2 linked regions of the Struthio camelus genome follow. The protein of the gene in region 2 interacts with the protein of the main gene of each other region in a biochemical or structural test. Links are inferred from orthologs where the notes say so. Each region holds a gene or a part of one and is shown on either strand. Other genes may lie near its edges.

Region 1 (8,591 bases), on a different chromosome or scaffold from region 2:
ATCTGCCTTGTTCCCCTTTAAATGGGGAGCAAAGTGGAGCAGAAATCATGTTTATGGGACCAGGGAATTCTTGCCTCTTTTGGATTTCCTTTCTTTGCCACCATTTACATGTCTGAATGCTGACTACAGTCAGAGAAAAACTCTCAAACCATTTGAAACAGGTGTCTTTTAACTCGCAGTATGTATAGACAGAAGAAGTGCTTTACCAGTGGGACTGTGTTCCTCCTTTAATATAAGGAATGGGTGCATGTTTAAAATGACAGATGTGTCTTTAAAAAAGGATTTGCCTTGGAACCGCAACTGTAGCGTTTGGTGGATAAGAAAAGAAATCTAAGACTTCCTTCCCTGATGCACTTTTTTAATGGGTGGGTGGGAGGAGGGGCTGGTTGGTTTGTTTTTGTGGGGTTTTGTTGGGTTTTTGCAGGGGGGAGAGGAGTAGATGAACTGAAGTCTCTTTCAGGAACATGGGATTTCTTTCTTTTACTCCTTCCACCTCTGGAAAAATCACTTAATTTTCCAATTTACGTACTCACTTTAGCATGGTCATGTTTATACGTGTTTTAACTATGTTATGATGAATAATAATCTTTAGACTGGGAAAATAATGGGAGCAAATCACTGATTTAAACAAAAATCTTGATTAAATGCAGGAAACTCCAAAAATCTCCAAATTAAAGAGTGTTTGGTGTATCATTTTTCTACCAAATGAGAACAGTTGTATTATAGACTGAGTAATAAAAATTACCCTTCACTCAGTACCACCTCCATTTCTTTCACATTTCATTAAATTATTTAGTATCATGACCTTATTCATTTGCAGCTTTATGCTTATGCAATAAGGTACCTGCTCTTTGAATCATTTTGTATTTAAATTTGTGCAATTGGAAGGAAGCTTTTGTCTTTCCTTTTGACATGACATTAATTTGTCTTTATCCTTCCCCGTGAAGTAGCTTAGTATAAATAACACATGTTGCAATACTGAAGTATTTTGATAACTTGTTCCTTGTGTTCTTTAAAAAGAAGAATTAATTTCAATGCTGCTGTTCAAAATTCTTATCGTTGAGGAACTTTTTTGTAAAGAGTTTACTTTGTTCCAAACTGGTATGTAATCAAACTAAATCTTGCTATCATTTATGTAGAGTATCCACGTTTATTAGTAAAGGAGATAAAGGTAGGTATTTTTATTGGATTCAAAGATTTGATCCAACGGAAATATTGAGCAGTATCTTAAATTGCGAGAGCGAGACAGATGTGATTTGATTACATTTAGTTAATTATTTTATGAAATATAAATAATGTATATACTCATTTGTCTGAGATTTTCTACGCAGCTACATATAAGCATACTGTTAAAGCCTGAAATTTTATAAAAGCAGGATCTGCCATTCTGTCATCTCTTATATTCCTTATTCTGTGATATGCAACTTGTAGATAGTGTAAAATAATTTAATTATTAAAATTGTGTATTTAGAGGGTTTTGGTGTTAAAAGGATCTGTTTTTTCTCTTCATACTTCTATACATTATCATATTTATTTTTAAGGCCTGATTGTAACGGAACATGCTGCCAAAGGATTTATCTAACTTCAGATTTCTACATTAGGTTTATACCTACTGTTTTATATCAGGAATCAATGGTAGATAACTTCTGCTTTTTCATATAAACTCTTATTGTTTAACATAGAAGTTTGTGCAACTTTATAATGAGAATTTTATTGTAATATATTTGTTTCATGGGTGTTGAAAATATCAATACTAGATAAACTTTCTTCTAGTATGAGTTTGCAAGCTATTATGTCTAAGTTATAGTCCGCTGAAAGCAACAATTTAATTTGTCTTTAATATCACCATGCAGAGATGTGTTTTGGGAAATCTTAATGTTTCATATAGCCTTGATGTGACTTAGGCATTGTCTATTTAATTTGTTATAGAAATTACAATATTAAAAAATATAATGGGTTCTGTAACAGGTAAACCTTAAAATAATGTTCTGTGTTCATTTTACTTTGGCTTTTCTTTGTAAATGTTGACTCGTGGAATAGCGTAATCCTTCTGAAGGCTGTCCTTTAGCAAGGAGAGCTGGGGGGTCATGACTGTGCTGCAATCTCTTAGTCGTTATTTTCTGATAGGAAGATTTTTCTTTTTTTAATCTATGCATCTTTTCTAAGAAATAATAGGCACTACTCTTGCTTACACTGAACACTGTGATGTGTCTGTTGAATGAATAACTTTTTAGAATTTGTGGCTCTTACCAGTTACATTTTACATGAAGCTAACTGAAACTGTTTTGAATTGGAAAAGATGAAAAATGAAGGAAAGAGAAATGGGGCAGGTTCTGAGCACTCTTGAATTTTCTGTTAGAGTCACTGGAATTGTAGCATCTGCCGATCTGCTAGCTAGTGATCTGGCCCCCAAGGTTACACCATGCCGGAACTTTAAATTCAGATTAAGGTTCCACTTCTGTTTTGTCTGGGGTTTGAGTTGAACATCTGTTGGTTAATAGATGTATCGCAGTTCTTGCAGAAAATCATCCTAAAGAGTTTGCAGCCTTAAGAGTAAAGGGATGTGTTTTATTGGAGTACCCATCTGGCCTCTTGTCTGCAATGTGTGTGCATTGCCTTGTGTGAATAAAGCAAATTTGTTTAACAACACAGGTGAGGAGTTTTCTGTTCATGGCATGGTGAAATCCTTGCCAGAGAGAAGAGGCAGAGGCGACACGAGACGCTGCTGGCAGCGGATGGTTGCGTGAATGTCGCGGCTCCGGCCCTGGCGGACCCTGCTGTGCCCTCCGCTGGCTCTGCCCTCCCCATATTGGCGGTGGCACGTCGGCCACCAGCTCCAGCTCATCCTCTTCCAACCCGGTATCAGCAAAGCTAGTGCTCTGGAAGAGACTCCTTATTTCGGAGCTGTGCTACGTTCCCCTCTGTTGATGAGCTTTTCTAATTGGGAACCAGTGCTCTGTTACCTTTAATTGCCTATAAGCTAGGCTTAGTGTGCGAGAGTGACAATACTGCTACATGTTGGGTGTTAATTGTGGAATCAAAGAGGAACAACTGATAAATACCAGTGCTACTACACTTCACCACAAATGACGTGTTCATATAAACAAATACACTGCTCTTAGGATGTGCAATACAATCAAATTTTAAGAGCCACGATTCATTACGGCTTACAGTGGGTTTTCAAGGAGACGCTAAACAGTCTATCCAAAAATATTTCTAGCACGCACAAAATAACTCCTTATGCTTTGAAGATATCCTCTACTAATGCTGTGAATGGACTCCAACACAATGCATGCACTTGGTAACAACTTATATTAATTATTATTCAGATATTTAAACCATTGTATTCCACCATTCATTTACAACATCCTTTTGAGTTACTAACCCCCATGGCTTCATTTCAGGTCACGTTACACAGTAAATCTACATCTTACCAAAGCAAAGCACTTACTAAATTATTGGCAAAAGCAATACTTAAGCCTTGTTTTTCCTTTCAAATCTCAGCCTAGACATTGCTATGTCTTGCTAAAATGAGAAGGTGACGTGCTTAATTTTCTGGACAGTATCTTAATTTGGGAAGCCAGCCATGTACTCAGGCATGCTAATGTTTAAAGAAAAGTATCCTTCCTAGTGCTGGTTTAATGATTAAACAATTTAAAAAAATCTAATTTAGACTAGAGCGTTCATGACCCACATTCGTCTTGGATAAAGAAACCAGGCTGCCTAATTTCACCCAAGGCATTTGCAAAAATCTACAGTTTGTGTCTACAGCGGGAGAGAAAGACGTGTTTGCTGTGTGCTGCAGGCGTTCCCCAGAGGGGCGCGTGCGCTGCAGGTAGCCGGTGGAGATCACTTTTCAGAGCCTGATTTGGGCCCGTCGCTCAGACGTTTGCCTTGACGCTGCTTTGGTTTCACGCGCCGGTTTCCTTAGCTGCACGAATCCTTGCTGAAAACTGAAGGCTGCAGCGAATGCCTGGGAAGGGATGGCCTACAAACGTAGATAAAGTCGTCACCCCGTGCATTAGAGGAAATGGTAGCGCTTTGATACGTCTGTACGCTTTCCTTCTCTATCCGTTTCCTGGTTAGTTGAAAAAAAATTTTTTTTTGGAGAGGGGGCTGCTCAACGCTGCTTGGTTTAACAGTGAGATCAGCTCATTTCAGTGGGAGGTGCAAGCTACTTGTAGTTAAAGCACAGGAGTGGGAAGCAGGAAAGCCAGGTCCTGTTTCCAATTCTTCCCCAGATTTCCTGCTAAACTTCACGTTAATCACTTAATCTCTGGTTTTATTTTTATTCCTCTGCAAATTGCAGCGCTCTTGATGCATGGCAGTCGGTGCAAATTAGCGCTGTGACGGGTGCTCGGGAAGTGCTAGGTGGCACCGCACGGGAGGCCCAAGGGTGCCCTTTTAAACGGCTGGAATGGTTTCAGCGCCGTTTCAGGTTAAAGAGGTCAAACTGGGTTCACAGTCCAGTACCGGTCCGTAGCATCTGCAGCCTGAGTCTGCCAAGGTGCCGTGCGTGGGACGTGGCGCAACGCAGCTCTCCGGGACGGATGGGGACGATCACCGGTTTGCGCGGCAAAATGAACACCGTCACGTTAGCTACGGCGATGGCCGTTAGTTTACGAGCCCGAATAAATTGCACGGCTTCGCCTAAGCAGACGACGCGGGGGGCTCCCGCCCTGCGCCGAGCTCCGCCAACCTCACCCCGGCTCAGGGCTCAACCGCAGCCCCGGCGTCGACGCTCAGCCGCTATCGCCTCGGCCGGCCCGGCCGCTCCCCCGTGCCTCGGGGACCCCCGGTTTCGGCTGCCCCCCTTCCACCCAGCCAGGGGAAACGGCTTCTCCGCGTGGAGGGGTGCGGGGGTGTCGCCTTGGCGGGGGCCGCTGCCGCCGCTGCCTCAGGGGCCGCGGTTCCCGCCTCGGGCGGCGCCGCCTCAGGGCCCGCGGTTCCCGCCTCAGGGGCCGCCGCCGCCGCCGCCTCAGGGGCCGCGGTTCCCGCCTCAGGGGGCGCCGCCGCCTCAGGGGCCGCGGTTCCCGCCTCGGGCGGCGCCATCTCGCGAGCCGCCCCCCGAGGGGCCGCGCCGCCGCCGCCGCCGCCGGAGGAGCCGCCCGCCGCTCCCGCCCCTCAGGTAGCTCTGCTCCCGCCCTGCCTCCTCCCTCCTCCTCCTCGCCCTGCCCCTCGGCGCGCTCGCTCGCCGGCAGGCAGCAGGCAGCCCCGCCGTGCCGATCCTCGCTGTCATGGCTGCGGTGGGTGCCGCTGCGTGGGGGCGGCCGGGCCGGGTCGGGTCGGGTCGGGGATGGCAGTGCGGGGTGGGGTGGGGTGGGGTGGGGTGGGGTGGGGGGGTCAGGCCGGCGGCGCGACCCTCATGTCTTCGCCTTCCCCGGCGCAGGTGACGAGGGGCACGGCGACGCGCCGCAGCCGCCTGAAGCGCTCCGACGGCAGCACCACCTCCACCAGCTTCATCCTGCGGCAGGTGAGGCCGGGCGCGGCCGCGGGCCGGGCGGGCGCTGCCGGCGGAGCGGCGCGGAGCGGGGCGGGAGCTGCTCGGGGCGCCGCCGCCCCGGCCCCGGCCCGCGCCCTCGGGGCCGCCCCGCGCTGCGCCGCTCCGCGCCGCCCCGAGGGCAGGTCGGCGCCCGGAGCCCGCTGCCCCCACCGGGGGCTGCGCGCAGAGCGCGGTGTGCTTTTTGCGTCTTTATTCCTTATCTTGTGTGTGCGTGTGTGGTTTTGTCCCCCTTGAAATACCTAAAATCGCAACTTATTTTCATACCTGGGGTCAGGCCAGCGTGCTTCACGTTCCCTGCTAAAATCGTGTATATATGCACACGCACACGTATATATCGTATATAATCATATATATATATATTTATGTGTGTGTGTATATGTATGTGTATATATAAAATATATATATTTTTTCTCCTTGCACTGCCTAAAAGTCATTTGGGAGAGCGCTGGGGTTGGTTGCCTCCCCGGCTCGCGCCGCGGAGCGCCCCGGCAGGAGTTCCCGGCCTCTTTCCGCTGGCGGCGTTAGGGAACGGCGCTCTCCTGCGTGGTGAGCCAGCCTTAGTAAACCGTTGGAAACGACTTGAAGACGTCCACGGATAACGTTTATTTGGCTTATTGCGTAGCTTCGTTTTAAATCGCGAGCACAAATCTCCTTGAGGCAGAAGCAAAGTTAGCAAAGTTTGGGGATTTGGACTCGCTCGTGTTCTTCTTTTGTTGTGATCAAAGTGGTTTGTTTTTTTTTTTTTGTTTTTAAGCACTGAGTTTAGGAGGGTTTTTGTGCTGCTGTTAGCACTGCTTTGAGAGCCCCGCTGTGGGGGACCGTGCGGCTCGGGGCCTCGCTCTGTGCGCACAGAAGCTGTGGTTACTCGGTCTCCCTCTGTACCAGATTATCCCCGGCCTCTGGGGGAAGGTGAAACACAGGAGAGCTGGACTTAACGCTGTAAGCCCCGAGTGTCCAAGAATTGCGAGAGGGAGGCCTGAAAAAATCGGTCTGAAGTTAACGATTGCTTTAGAAATTAGGTTTATTGTGTTTGCCTTCCAGTTTCTAAGCCGCAGCTTGCGCTTTGGGCTGGTTTTCTAGGTATTCTCTGTAACAGCGAGGGCAGGAAATACACTTTTCGGAAAGCATGAAAGCTGGGACTTTAGAGGAGTTGAGGATTTTTGAAAAACATGCTTGCAATGCAGCGTCACGAGCACTGGCCTCTCGGTTTGGGGCTTCGGGCTTATTGGTGCTAATTATACAGTTGTCCTGCTTCCCCTGGCGTTGCAGGAGTAACGCTAGCAATTTAGATGAAGCCTCCTGCTAACAGTTACCTTTTCTTTTTCTGTTTCCAGTCTTAGCTCTTGTCTGTTAGCTCTCCCGCGATAAAGTAAAAACTAGTATCCTTAGTCTCACCGAAGCTTTACTTTCTCTCTTAAATGATGCTTGCTGGAGAAACTTTGTTAATTTGCTTTAAAAGTAAATGAGATGAACTGTTTCTGGAGATTATTCCTTTTTACGTACAAAAAATTTACCCGGAGCCTGAACCCGTGTACTCCACAGGCACCCAAATCTCTCAGTGCCATTCGCAGAAATTTAGGCAATTACAAGGAAAGCAGAACTGGGTCCTTGAAAAACCAGGGGCCGCGTGTCATGCGTAGAAGCGTGTTTCGCGCAGGACGTGGAAGTTGTCAGTTGGATTGGTCGGTCAGATAAGGAGATATAAATAACCCCGGCAAGGTTTCTGTGGTGTTCTCCGTTCATCCTTCCAGGCCAAGCCAGAATCGCAGCAATTTCCGACTGGCAGCCAGCCCTCGTTTCCAGCGGAGTCAAGCGCGACGTCACCGTAGCCCCAATGACAGTCGGGATCTGAAGCATAAGGTGGTCTCAGCCAAATAACTTAGAATTGCGACAGTGCTAAATAAATACGCAAGGCGTTTTATCCCCACTTTGTGCGTTGTGGCAGTTCAGCAGATGCTGTGGGCCCTTCTGGAGATGTCCCGAACGGTCTCGTCGGTTGTCAGAAGTGTCATTTGAAGGGGTGGGTTTTGGGTCATACTCGCATAGGCAATTACGGGCTTGATCTTCAGGTTTTTGACCTGCTGGGTTGGTTTCGTTTGTGATTTAGACGGACGCAGTGAGGATAACCGGCTTCACTCCGGAGCAGAGCACGCGGTGTCTGAAGCGCGAGTCCACGGCGTGGGGGTTTTGAGCCCTTGCGTGTGTGAGAGCTCACGCGAGTGCCCGGGAAGGCTGCTGCTTGTGGGCAGGAGCCTGGTTTTCAAACAAACTAGCAAGGTGTCCTATTTGAATTATGCTGCACCTAATACCTTTTTTTGGGGGTTCAAAATACGCTGAAACGTTTCCTGTGCTTGAGACCCTTCTGTGTGTCTCACGTTGCAGGGCTTGGGGTGCTCTGTAAGTACTGTAGTGTGTTTCAACGCATCCGTGTTTGCTGTCTTTGTTTCTGAAACCCCTCCTTGAAGGATTGCTTTATAGTAGATAATACACTAAAGCGGTGCTGCCATATACCTGAGGCCCTTCATTTTGGTCTAATTGAATTATAAATCACAGCTTGTACGTCTTGCATCCTACAGTTTACCGAATTCAAATGGGAACTGAAGTGCGCAAGGATTATTTAGTTGTCCTTTATAGAGCAAGCCCTGTGGTGGCCAAGGATCCAATTTCCAAACTTCAAGTGCTCGTGTGAATGGGCTGTACCTATTACTGTGCTCTTAACTTGCATGCTTAGCTTAATTACCTGCACAGTTCGTAAGTGTGTGTAACAGGGGATCTCGGCATGAAAATGTACTTTTAAATGAGACTGAGGGCAGCTGTAGGCCTCAACACCTAACCAGTCCTTACTGATCTTTTTAGAAGAATCAGGTAGTCAAATGCTTATTACTGTTTTTTTTGTTTTTGTCTTGTAGTCATCACTCCATATCCATCGCTTTCCCTCTTCCCCCAAAACAACTTGCGTTCTGGGGCGCAAGGCGATGATTTGTGTCTTCACCGCCAGCCCTGCAGCGGTCGGGGCAGCCGCTGAGGCAGCGAGCAGTGCCGTCGGGCCTCTGCTGACACCGTTGCTCTTCCCGCGCCGGTACCCGTC
Region 2 (8,301 bases):
TGGTTATCCGGCACACCTCGGCTATCCGGCACACCTTGGTTATCCGGCACACCTCGGCTATCCGGCACAGCCCGGCTATCTGGCACAGCCCGGCTATTCGGCACAGCCCGGCTATCCGGCACACCTCGGCTATCCGGCACACCTCGGCTATCCGGCACAGCCCGGCTATCTGGCACACCTCGGCTATCCGGCACACCTCGGCTATCCGGCACAGCCCGGCTATCCGGCACACCTCGGTTATCCGGCACACCTCGGCTATCCGGCACACCTCGGCTATCCGGCACAGCCCGGCTACCCGGCACAGCCCGGCTATCCAGCACAGCCCGGCTACCCGGCACTGCTTCACTATCCAGCACACCTCGGCTACTCGGCACAGCCCGGCTATCCGGCACACCTTGGTTATCCGGCACACCTCGGCTATCCGGCACACCTTGGTTATCCGGCACACCTCGGCTACCCGGCATAGCCCGGCTATCCGGCACACCTCGGCTACCCGGCACACCTCGGCTCTCCGGCACGGCTCCTCGCCATCCACAAACACCTGGGAGCGATGCAGCCGGGGGCCGGCGCTCGGCCTGGTCCCCGGCGGCAGCCCCCGCGCGGGTCCGGAGGTGCCGGCCCTGCCGGAGGCTCCCGGCGCCGAGCGGGGCCCGAGGCTGCGGCCGGCGGCGGGGCTGCGGGCGACACGCGGGAAAAGGGGGAAAAAAGAACAAAAAGGGGAAAAAAAAAGCGAGAGCGAGGCCGGCTGAGCCGCGCGGGGCCGGGGCGGCAGCGGGAGCGCGGGGCCGCCCGGGGGCTCTTGTTTGGACGGAGACCCCGTTTCCCGAGGCGAGGGGCAGCCCGAGGGCCGGAGACGTCCCGGCCCCTCTCCACGGGGCCCCGGGAGGAAGAGGAGGGACCCGCGGCCGCTTGCGGAGGGAAGCGTTGGCCTGCGGCCCCGCCAGCAGCGCGCGGGGGAGCCCGTTACGCAGGTGGGTAAACTGAGGCACGGGGGGGAGCTGCATTCAAAGCCGGAAGCTTTTCCTAAGGGCAGGACTGGCTCCTGCCTCTCGGGCGAGGGCTGAGATCTGGGAGATGGGAGCAGCCGCCCGGCTGGCTCGGCCCCCGGCGCCTTTGGGGGCGTTTGGGTGCCAGGGTCCGGGGGGGGGGACACGGCTCTGCTGCTCGGCACACGGAGGGGGAACGCCGCGCCGGCGAGCCCCGGGGAGCTGCGCGGGCAACGGCAGGCCGGGAAAGCGGCCGAGCAAAACCCGCCGGCATCGCAGCAAAAACCCGCCGGCGCCATGCAGGGGGGGTCCGCGCCGGGGCGTCCGTCCGTCTGTCCGTCCGCCCGGCGCCGGCAGCCCCTGGGGTGAGGAGGAAGGAGCCGGGCGGACATTTCTCCTGCGCGCCGGACTCATCCCTCCGCCACCCACTGCCATAGTAGGGGCGCGCTGCAGCGCACATGCCCAGTCGGGCGGCTGGCAGCGATGACTCTCCAAACCCTCCCGAATCCCCAAGAAGTCTCCGGCGGGCGGCCAGGCAGGGCCGGATCCCCGCGATGCCGAGCCGGGGCGAAAGGCGCCGGGAGCTGGAGCGAGCGCCCCGCTCGAGGCCGCGGCTCGCCGGCGGCGTTTCCCGTCCCCGCCGGTGCCCGCCGCGGAAAACCGGCCCTTGGCCGGCCCGGCGCTCCGACGTCTCTCCCGGCCGGCACGTTCGGGGCGGACGGGCACCGGGGTTGGGGGGGGGGATCAGGCGAGCGCGCGGACGGGCGCTACGTACCCAAGCCGAGCCGGGGACGAAGCAGCGCTGTCCTCTCGGGTCCCGCCGCGGCTGGCGAGAGCCGCTTCCGTGGCAAAGGCCTGGCGGCGATGCCCGGAGGCGGCTGCGAGCCGGCGGGGCCGGCGCAGTCCTGGGCCGCTCTCCAAAAATCGCGCCTTCCCCCCCCATCCCCACCCTGCCCCGGTGCAGCCTGGGTGGCCCCGCTGCTGGCCGGGGGGACGCGGTGGCCCCACGAGGCCGGGGGCACCCCGAGGCTGGGGGCACCCCGAGCCCGGCCGGCACGCCGCGGGAACGGTCCCCCGGGAGTGGGGTTGGGGCGCGGGAACGCAGCCTGGCCGGGGGGCACGGTGGCCCCACGAGGCCGGGGGCACCCCAAGCCCAGCCAGCACCCCGAGCCCGGCCGGCACACCGTGGGAACGGGCACCCCGGGAGCGGGAGCGGGGTGCAGGAACGCAGCCCAGCCGGGGGGCACGGTGGCCCCACGAGGCCGGGGGCACCCCAAGCCCAGCCAGCACCCCGAGCCCGGCCGGCACACCGTGGGAACGGGCACCCCGGGAGCAGGATCGGGGCGCGGGAACACAGCCCGGCCGGGGGGCACGGTGGCCCCACGAGGCCGGGGGCACCCCGAGGCTGGGGGCACCCCGAGCCCGGCCGGCACGCCGCGGGAACGGGCACCCCGGGAGCGGGAGCGGGGCGCGGGAACGCAGCCCACCCGGAGGGATGGAGGGGACACGGACGCATCCGGCAGCCCCGGGGCCGGTGCCGGGGGTGAGCGCAGCATCGACGGAGGCGCCCGGACACCCCGGAGCGGCGCCGGGCCGCGAGCCCCCCGAGAGGCGCTGCGCCGGGGTTGGGGGGGGCATGCAGCGGGGTGTCCCACCCCGTCCCGTCCCCCTGCCCAGAAAGGATATGGCCATTCGGTGATCTTTTTGGCGTATTTCCTCACCACGTTGTCCTCGCTGAAGAGGAAGAGGGAGCGGTTGACAGTCAGGCAGTTCTGCCGGACGGGGATGGGGTTGTAGAGAGCCATGGTGCGGGCTCGCTGGGCCATCGACTGCTTGTACATCCTCTGCGCCCCGGGGGGGCCGCCCGGGCGGGTGCCCCCCGGCGCCCGCCCGCCAGCGCCCGGCGCAGCCCCGGGGCCTCCTGCCCCGGCGGCGCCCGCCGGCCCGTAGCGGGCCGGCACCTCGTCTCCGAAGCGAGCCATCCTGCAAAGAGCAAAGGGCCAGGGGTTACGCGGCGGAGGATGCTGCCGGCGAGGAGCTCATCACATCCCATGGGCCGGCGGCGGCGCGGCGCGGGGGGCCTGGCGGAGCCGGGGGGGCCGCTCAGGCGGCCGCGAGCCTGGACATCCTTCGTCTCTCCTCCCCTTGCAGGAGAGGAGCCGATGCAACCCGCTCCGGGGAGGGGAAAGGCGGGGGGGGGGGCAGCAGTGCACCACCCCTGAAAAAAACGGGGGTTTTGCCAGGGAAGGGGGGGGGAAAAGAGCCCCCCCCCCCAAAAAAAAAACCAAAAAGCAAAAAAAGGGAACTCCTCAATGCACCAAGCGCCCCGGTTCTCCGTCCAGCCGATGCCTTTTCGAGGAAGCCGGGGGGGGGGCGGGGGGAGGGCTGCGATTCCCAAAAAAAAAAAAAAAAAAAATCCCCCAATGCACCACCGGCGGAAAGGGGGAAAAAAAACGGGAGCGAGGTGTTAAAAGGGGAAAATGCCGCCCCCCCGGGCGAGGGACGGCCACGGGGCTAATTGCGATTCGGGAGAGCCAGGGCAGCAGCCTCTCCGCCGCCCCCCCGCGCGCCCAAAGCCCCCAATGCACCAATTCCTCAGCCCGACCTCGCCGGGGCGGCGGGGGGGCACCGGCACCCGGGGGAAAAAAATGCACCAGCGGCGCGATGGTCGCGCCGGGAACGGGGTGGGGAGGGGGGGGGGCCAAGCCGGGACGGCGAGCGGAGCGAGAAGGAGGAGGAGGGGGGGGCAAAAAAAAAAAATCTAGCCCCCCCACCCCTTTCCCCCCCCCAAAAAAAGAAACCACCCAGCTCAAATCAGTGCCCCCCACTGCGCCTCGCCCGCCCCCCCCCCCAAAAGCAGCCGCAAATCGCAACGGCGGAGGACAAAAAAGCAGCCAGGTATTAAAAAGCCGGGGGGGGGGGAAGGAAAAAAAAAAAAAGGCCCCAAAAAGAAACGAAAAACCAAAAAAGAGGCGCCCCCCCCCCGCCGCCGCCGCCTCGCCCAGGTGCCTGCTTTCACGCGTGCATCGCGCCGGGCGCGGGGGGGGCTCCACGGGGGCTGGGCGCGCGTGGGGGGGGGGCTCGCCGCGGGGCGGGGGGGGGGGTCACTCCCGCATCATCTCGGAGTTGAATGCAGCAAAGAAATCCTGTAAAATCCGGCCGGGGCAGAGCGGCGAGAAGTAGGTCCCATCCACCGCGCGCTCGGGAGGCTTCCCCGCATGCGGCAGCGGCGCGCAGCTGCTTGTGCCCCTTTCCCCCCCTCCCCTGCCCTGTATTCCTCCACCTCCTCCTCCTCCTCTTGGGTTATAGCTAAAATAAGACCGGTGTTAGGGAGGGAGGGAGGAGGGGGGGAAAGGGAAGGGAACAAAAAAAAAAAGGGCTCTGATTCACTGGCAGGTTGAGCTCTAACGTGCAGCAACTCATCAATTTAATGCAAGCTCAGAGCCGCGGCCCCGGCTCGGCACATGACGGGGCCGGGACCAATGGGGGCCGCATCCTGCCCCGGCCGGTCCCCAGGCCGCGCTGCGGTGCGCGCACGAGGCCCGGCAGGGTCACCCGCCGGTGCGTGTCGGCGCGCGATGGCGTGCGAGAGCGGGCGCGGGTTTGTGTGTGCGTGTGTGCTGGTGTGCGATCGCGTGTGAGAGCGGGTGCATGTGTGTGCGTGTGTGCTGGTGTGCGATCGCGTGCGAGAGCGGGTGCATGTGTGTGCGTGTGTGCTGGTGTGCGATCGCGTGCGAGAGCGGGTGCATGTGTGTGCTGGTGTGCGATCGCGTGTGAGAGCGGGTGCATGTGTGTGCTGGTGTGCGATCGCGTGCGAGAGCGGGTGCATGTGTGTGCGTGTGTGCTGGTGTGCGATCGCGTGCGAGAGCGGGTGCATGTGTGTGCTGGTGTGCGATCGCGTGCGAGAGCGGGTGCATGTGTGTGCGTGTGTGCTGGTGTGCGATCGCGTGCGAGAGCGGGTGCATGTGTGTGCGTGTGTGCTGGTGTGCGATCGCGTGCGAGAGCAGGTGCATGTGTGTGCTGGTGTGCGATCGCGTGTGAGAGCGGGTGCATGTGTGTGCCGGTGTGCAATCGCGTGCAAGAGCGGGTGCATGTGTGTGCGTGTGTGCTGGTGTGCGATCGCGTGCGAGAGCGGGTGCATGTGCGTACCGGTGTGCAATTGCGTGCAAGAGTGGGCGCGGGTTTGTGTGTGCACGTGCCAGCATGCAATCACGTGCGAGAGCGGGTGCATGTGCGTGCCGGTGTGCAATTGTGTGCAAGAGCGGGCGCGGGTTTGTGTGTGCGTGTGCTGGTGTGTGATCGCGTGCGAGAGCGGGTGCATGTGTGTGCCGGTGTGCAAACGCATGCTAGAGCGGGCACGTTTGTGTGCACGTGCAACGTGCAATCGCATGCGAGAGCGGGCGCGTGTTCGTGTGTGCCTGTGCTGGTGTGCGATTGCGTGCGAGAGCGGGCGTGTGTTTGTGTGTGCGTGCTGGTGTGCGATCACGTGCCAGAGCGGGTGCGTGTTCGTGTGTGCGTGTGCTGGTGTGCAATCGCGTGCCAGAGCAGGTGCATGTGCATGCCGGTGTGCAATTGTGTGCGAGAGCGGGCGCGTGTTCATGTGCGCGTGCAACGTGCGATCGCGTGCAAGAGCAGGCGCATGTCCTTGTGCATGTGCCGGCGTGCGATCGCGTGCGAGAGCAGGCACATGTCCGTGTCCGTGTGCGTGTGCTGGTGTGCAGTCGCGTGCGGGAGCATGTGTGTGTCCACATGCATGCATTGGTGTGCGATCGTGTGCAAGAGCACGTGCATGTCTGTGTGTGCACGTCAGCGTGCAATCGCGAGCAAGAGCATGTGCATGTCAGTGAGTACAAGCCTGTGCACAAGCGCGTGCAACAGTGCATGCAGGACCGAGAGGTCAATGTGCACGGCCACATGCACGGTGATGTGCACGACCAACACGTGTGGCCACGTGCACGAGCGCGCGCAACACTGTGCGTGACCGACACGCACACCCACGCGCACGGCTGCGTGTGCAAGACTGCATGGCGGCATGGCCAACGCGCGCGTGCGCGTGCACGGCTGCATGCGTAACTGCGTGACCACACGGCCAACGTGCAGGACCAAACGCACGACTGTGTGCACAACCGCATGCACAACCACGTGGTGCTGTGCACAGCTGCACGCACGACTGTATGCACAACCACGTGGTGCTGTGCACAGCTGCACGCCTGACCCCATGCTCAACTGCACACCTGATGTGCACAGCCGCACGCACAACTGCATGCACACCCATGTCGTGCTGTGCACAAGCGCACGCACGACCGCACGCACACCCACACGGTGCTGTGCACAAGCGCACGCACGACCGTTGCCGTGACCCCCGTGGCTGTTGCGCGCAACCGCACGCACGAGCACGGGCACAACTGCACGGCCGACGCGCGCAGGCACAGGCGCGACCGTGCACGGCCGCAGGGCTGCTGTGCACGATGGCACGCACAGCCGCGCACGAGGCGGCGCGCAACCACGCGCCCGAGCCCGGGAACAGCCGCGACGCGGGGACGGCGCCGGCGCTGGCGCTGCTCCCGCGGCCTCTGCCCGCCGAGCTGCTCCCCGGCGATGTAATTACGCTGCCGGCGCCCGGTTTGACAAGTCACGTTGACCCGCGCAAAGGGAACAGGCGCCCTCGGCAGCACCGCCGCCCGCCCCGGCGGCCCTTATCAGCGCGCGCCTCCAGCAACCCTCGCTCAGCGCTTCCCGGCTCCGTCCGCCCGGCTTCGCCGAAAAAAACCCCAAAAAAGAGCCCGGAGGAGCCGGCGCCGCCGCCAGGAGAGGCTCCCCGGGGGCCGGCTTTGGGTCTCCCACGCATGCACCGAGCGCAGCAGGTCTCAGCCCGCACTGCGCACGAGCATCCCTTCGCCCCGCGCCGGTCCCGCGCCCGGCCCGGTGCAGACCAGCCCCGCGCCGGATCCGGCTGCATTTCCGGGGCGACAAGGGGGGATTTCTCGGAGATTAGAGAAAACAGGAGAGGGGAAAAGGCCGCCGGGGAAAGGCAGAGGGGAAGCCGCCGGCTCGCTCGGAGAGAGGCAGGAACGTCCCCGAAGCGGGATGATGCCGCGGGAGAGGAGGGAAGCGGGTTAGGAGGGAGCCCGGGACGGGCCCGAGAGGCGTCCCGCTCCCTCCCTCCTCCTGCACGCGCTCAGCCCAGCTTTTCCTTCGGGATAAAAGGCCGAAGCGGGCGGCGGCGGCAGGAGCAGGGCGCCCCGGGGACCGTGCACGGTCCTGCTCGCGCCCGTCCCGCTCCCGGCTGGTGGCTCCGGCCCGGAGACTCGCAGCGTCCACGGTGTTTCCAATGTCCGGGACGAGGTGGGAGATGCCGGCTCCTTGCTGGGGGGGGGGGGGGGGGGGGAATCCCAGGGCGGCCGCGGCCTCGGCACCCGGATGTGGCTGGAGCCGAGGGAACAAAGGGCGGCGATGCTGCACCGGCCTGCATCCCGCATCCTGCATCCTGCATCCCGTATCCTGCATCCCGCATCCTGTATCCCACATCCTGCATCCCGCATCCTGTATCCCACATCCTGCATCCTGCATCCTGTATCCCGCATCCCGCATCCTGCATCCTGCATCCCGCATCCTGCATCCTGTATCCCGCATCCTGCATCCCGCATCCTGTATCCCACATCCCGCATCCTGCATCCTGCGTCCTGCATCCTGTATCCCGCATCCTGCATCCTGCATCCCGCATCCCGCATCCTGTATCCTGCATCCAGCATCCTGCATCCTGTATCCCACATCCCGCATCCTGCATCCCGTATCCTGCATCCCACTTCCCACATTCTGCTCCCTGCATCCCGTATCCCGCCTCCCGCCTCCCACATCCTGCATCCTGCATCCCGTATCCCGCCTCCCGCCTCCCACATCCTGTATCCTGCATCCTGCATCCCGTATCCCACATCCCGCCTCCCACATCCTGTATCCTGCATCCCGCATCCCGCACCCCGCTTCCCGCCTCCCGGCGGCCCGTAGCCGCCAGAGGGAGCCTCGGGCAGCGCGACGGGACAAAACCCCATTTCTGAGACGCGAGGGGCTGCGGGCGGCGGAGGGGGGCGGCAAGCAGGGGGGCGCAAGGGGCACGCAGGGACGCGCCGGAGCCGGAGCGGCCAGGCGCCGCCGGAGACCCGGCCCGGCGGGCGGCGCGGGGGCGAACGAGCCCCCCCGGCGCTCGGCAGCGCCGTGCCGCCGTGCCGAAGCGGCCGCCTCCCGCCGCCCGGATCAGAGGCCGCACGCGGGTTCGGCGGGCGCCCGCCGCGCAGCCACGCCGGCTTCCCGCGCCGCG

What was found.
Region 1: the proteins of CACNA1A (region 2) and CACNB4 form a complex in vitro, tested with the Homo sapiens proteins (2 studies listed by BioGRID). The link is inferred for Struthio camelus from reciprocal best matches to the Homo sapiens genes CACNA1A and CACNB4.

What each region holds. Positions count from the first base shown.
Region 1 is NC_090947.1:44,648,476-44,657,066, reverse strand, and holds the start of CACNB4 (voltage-dependent L-type calcium channel subunit beta-4), read left to right. Parts: upstream 1-5,147; 5' UTR 5,148-5,237; coding exon 5,238-5,246; intron 5,247-5,389; coding exon 5,390-5,473; intron 5,474-8,591. UniProt on the Homo sapiens protein: The beta subunit of voltage-dependent calcium channels contributes to the function of the calcium channel by increasing peak calcium current, shifting the voltage dependencies of activation and inactivation, modulating G protein inhibition and controlling the alpha-1 subunit membrane targeting.
Region 2 is NC_090972.1:4,422,104-4,430,404, forward strand, and holds the start of CACNA1A (voltage-dependent P/Q-type calcium channel subunit alpha-1A), read right to left. Parts: upstream 3,357-8,301; 5' UTR 2,969-3,356; coding exon 2,673-2,968; intron 1-2,672.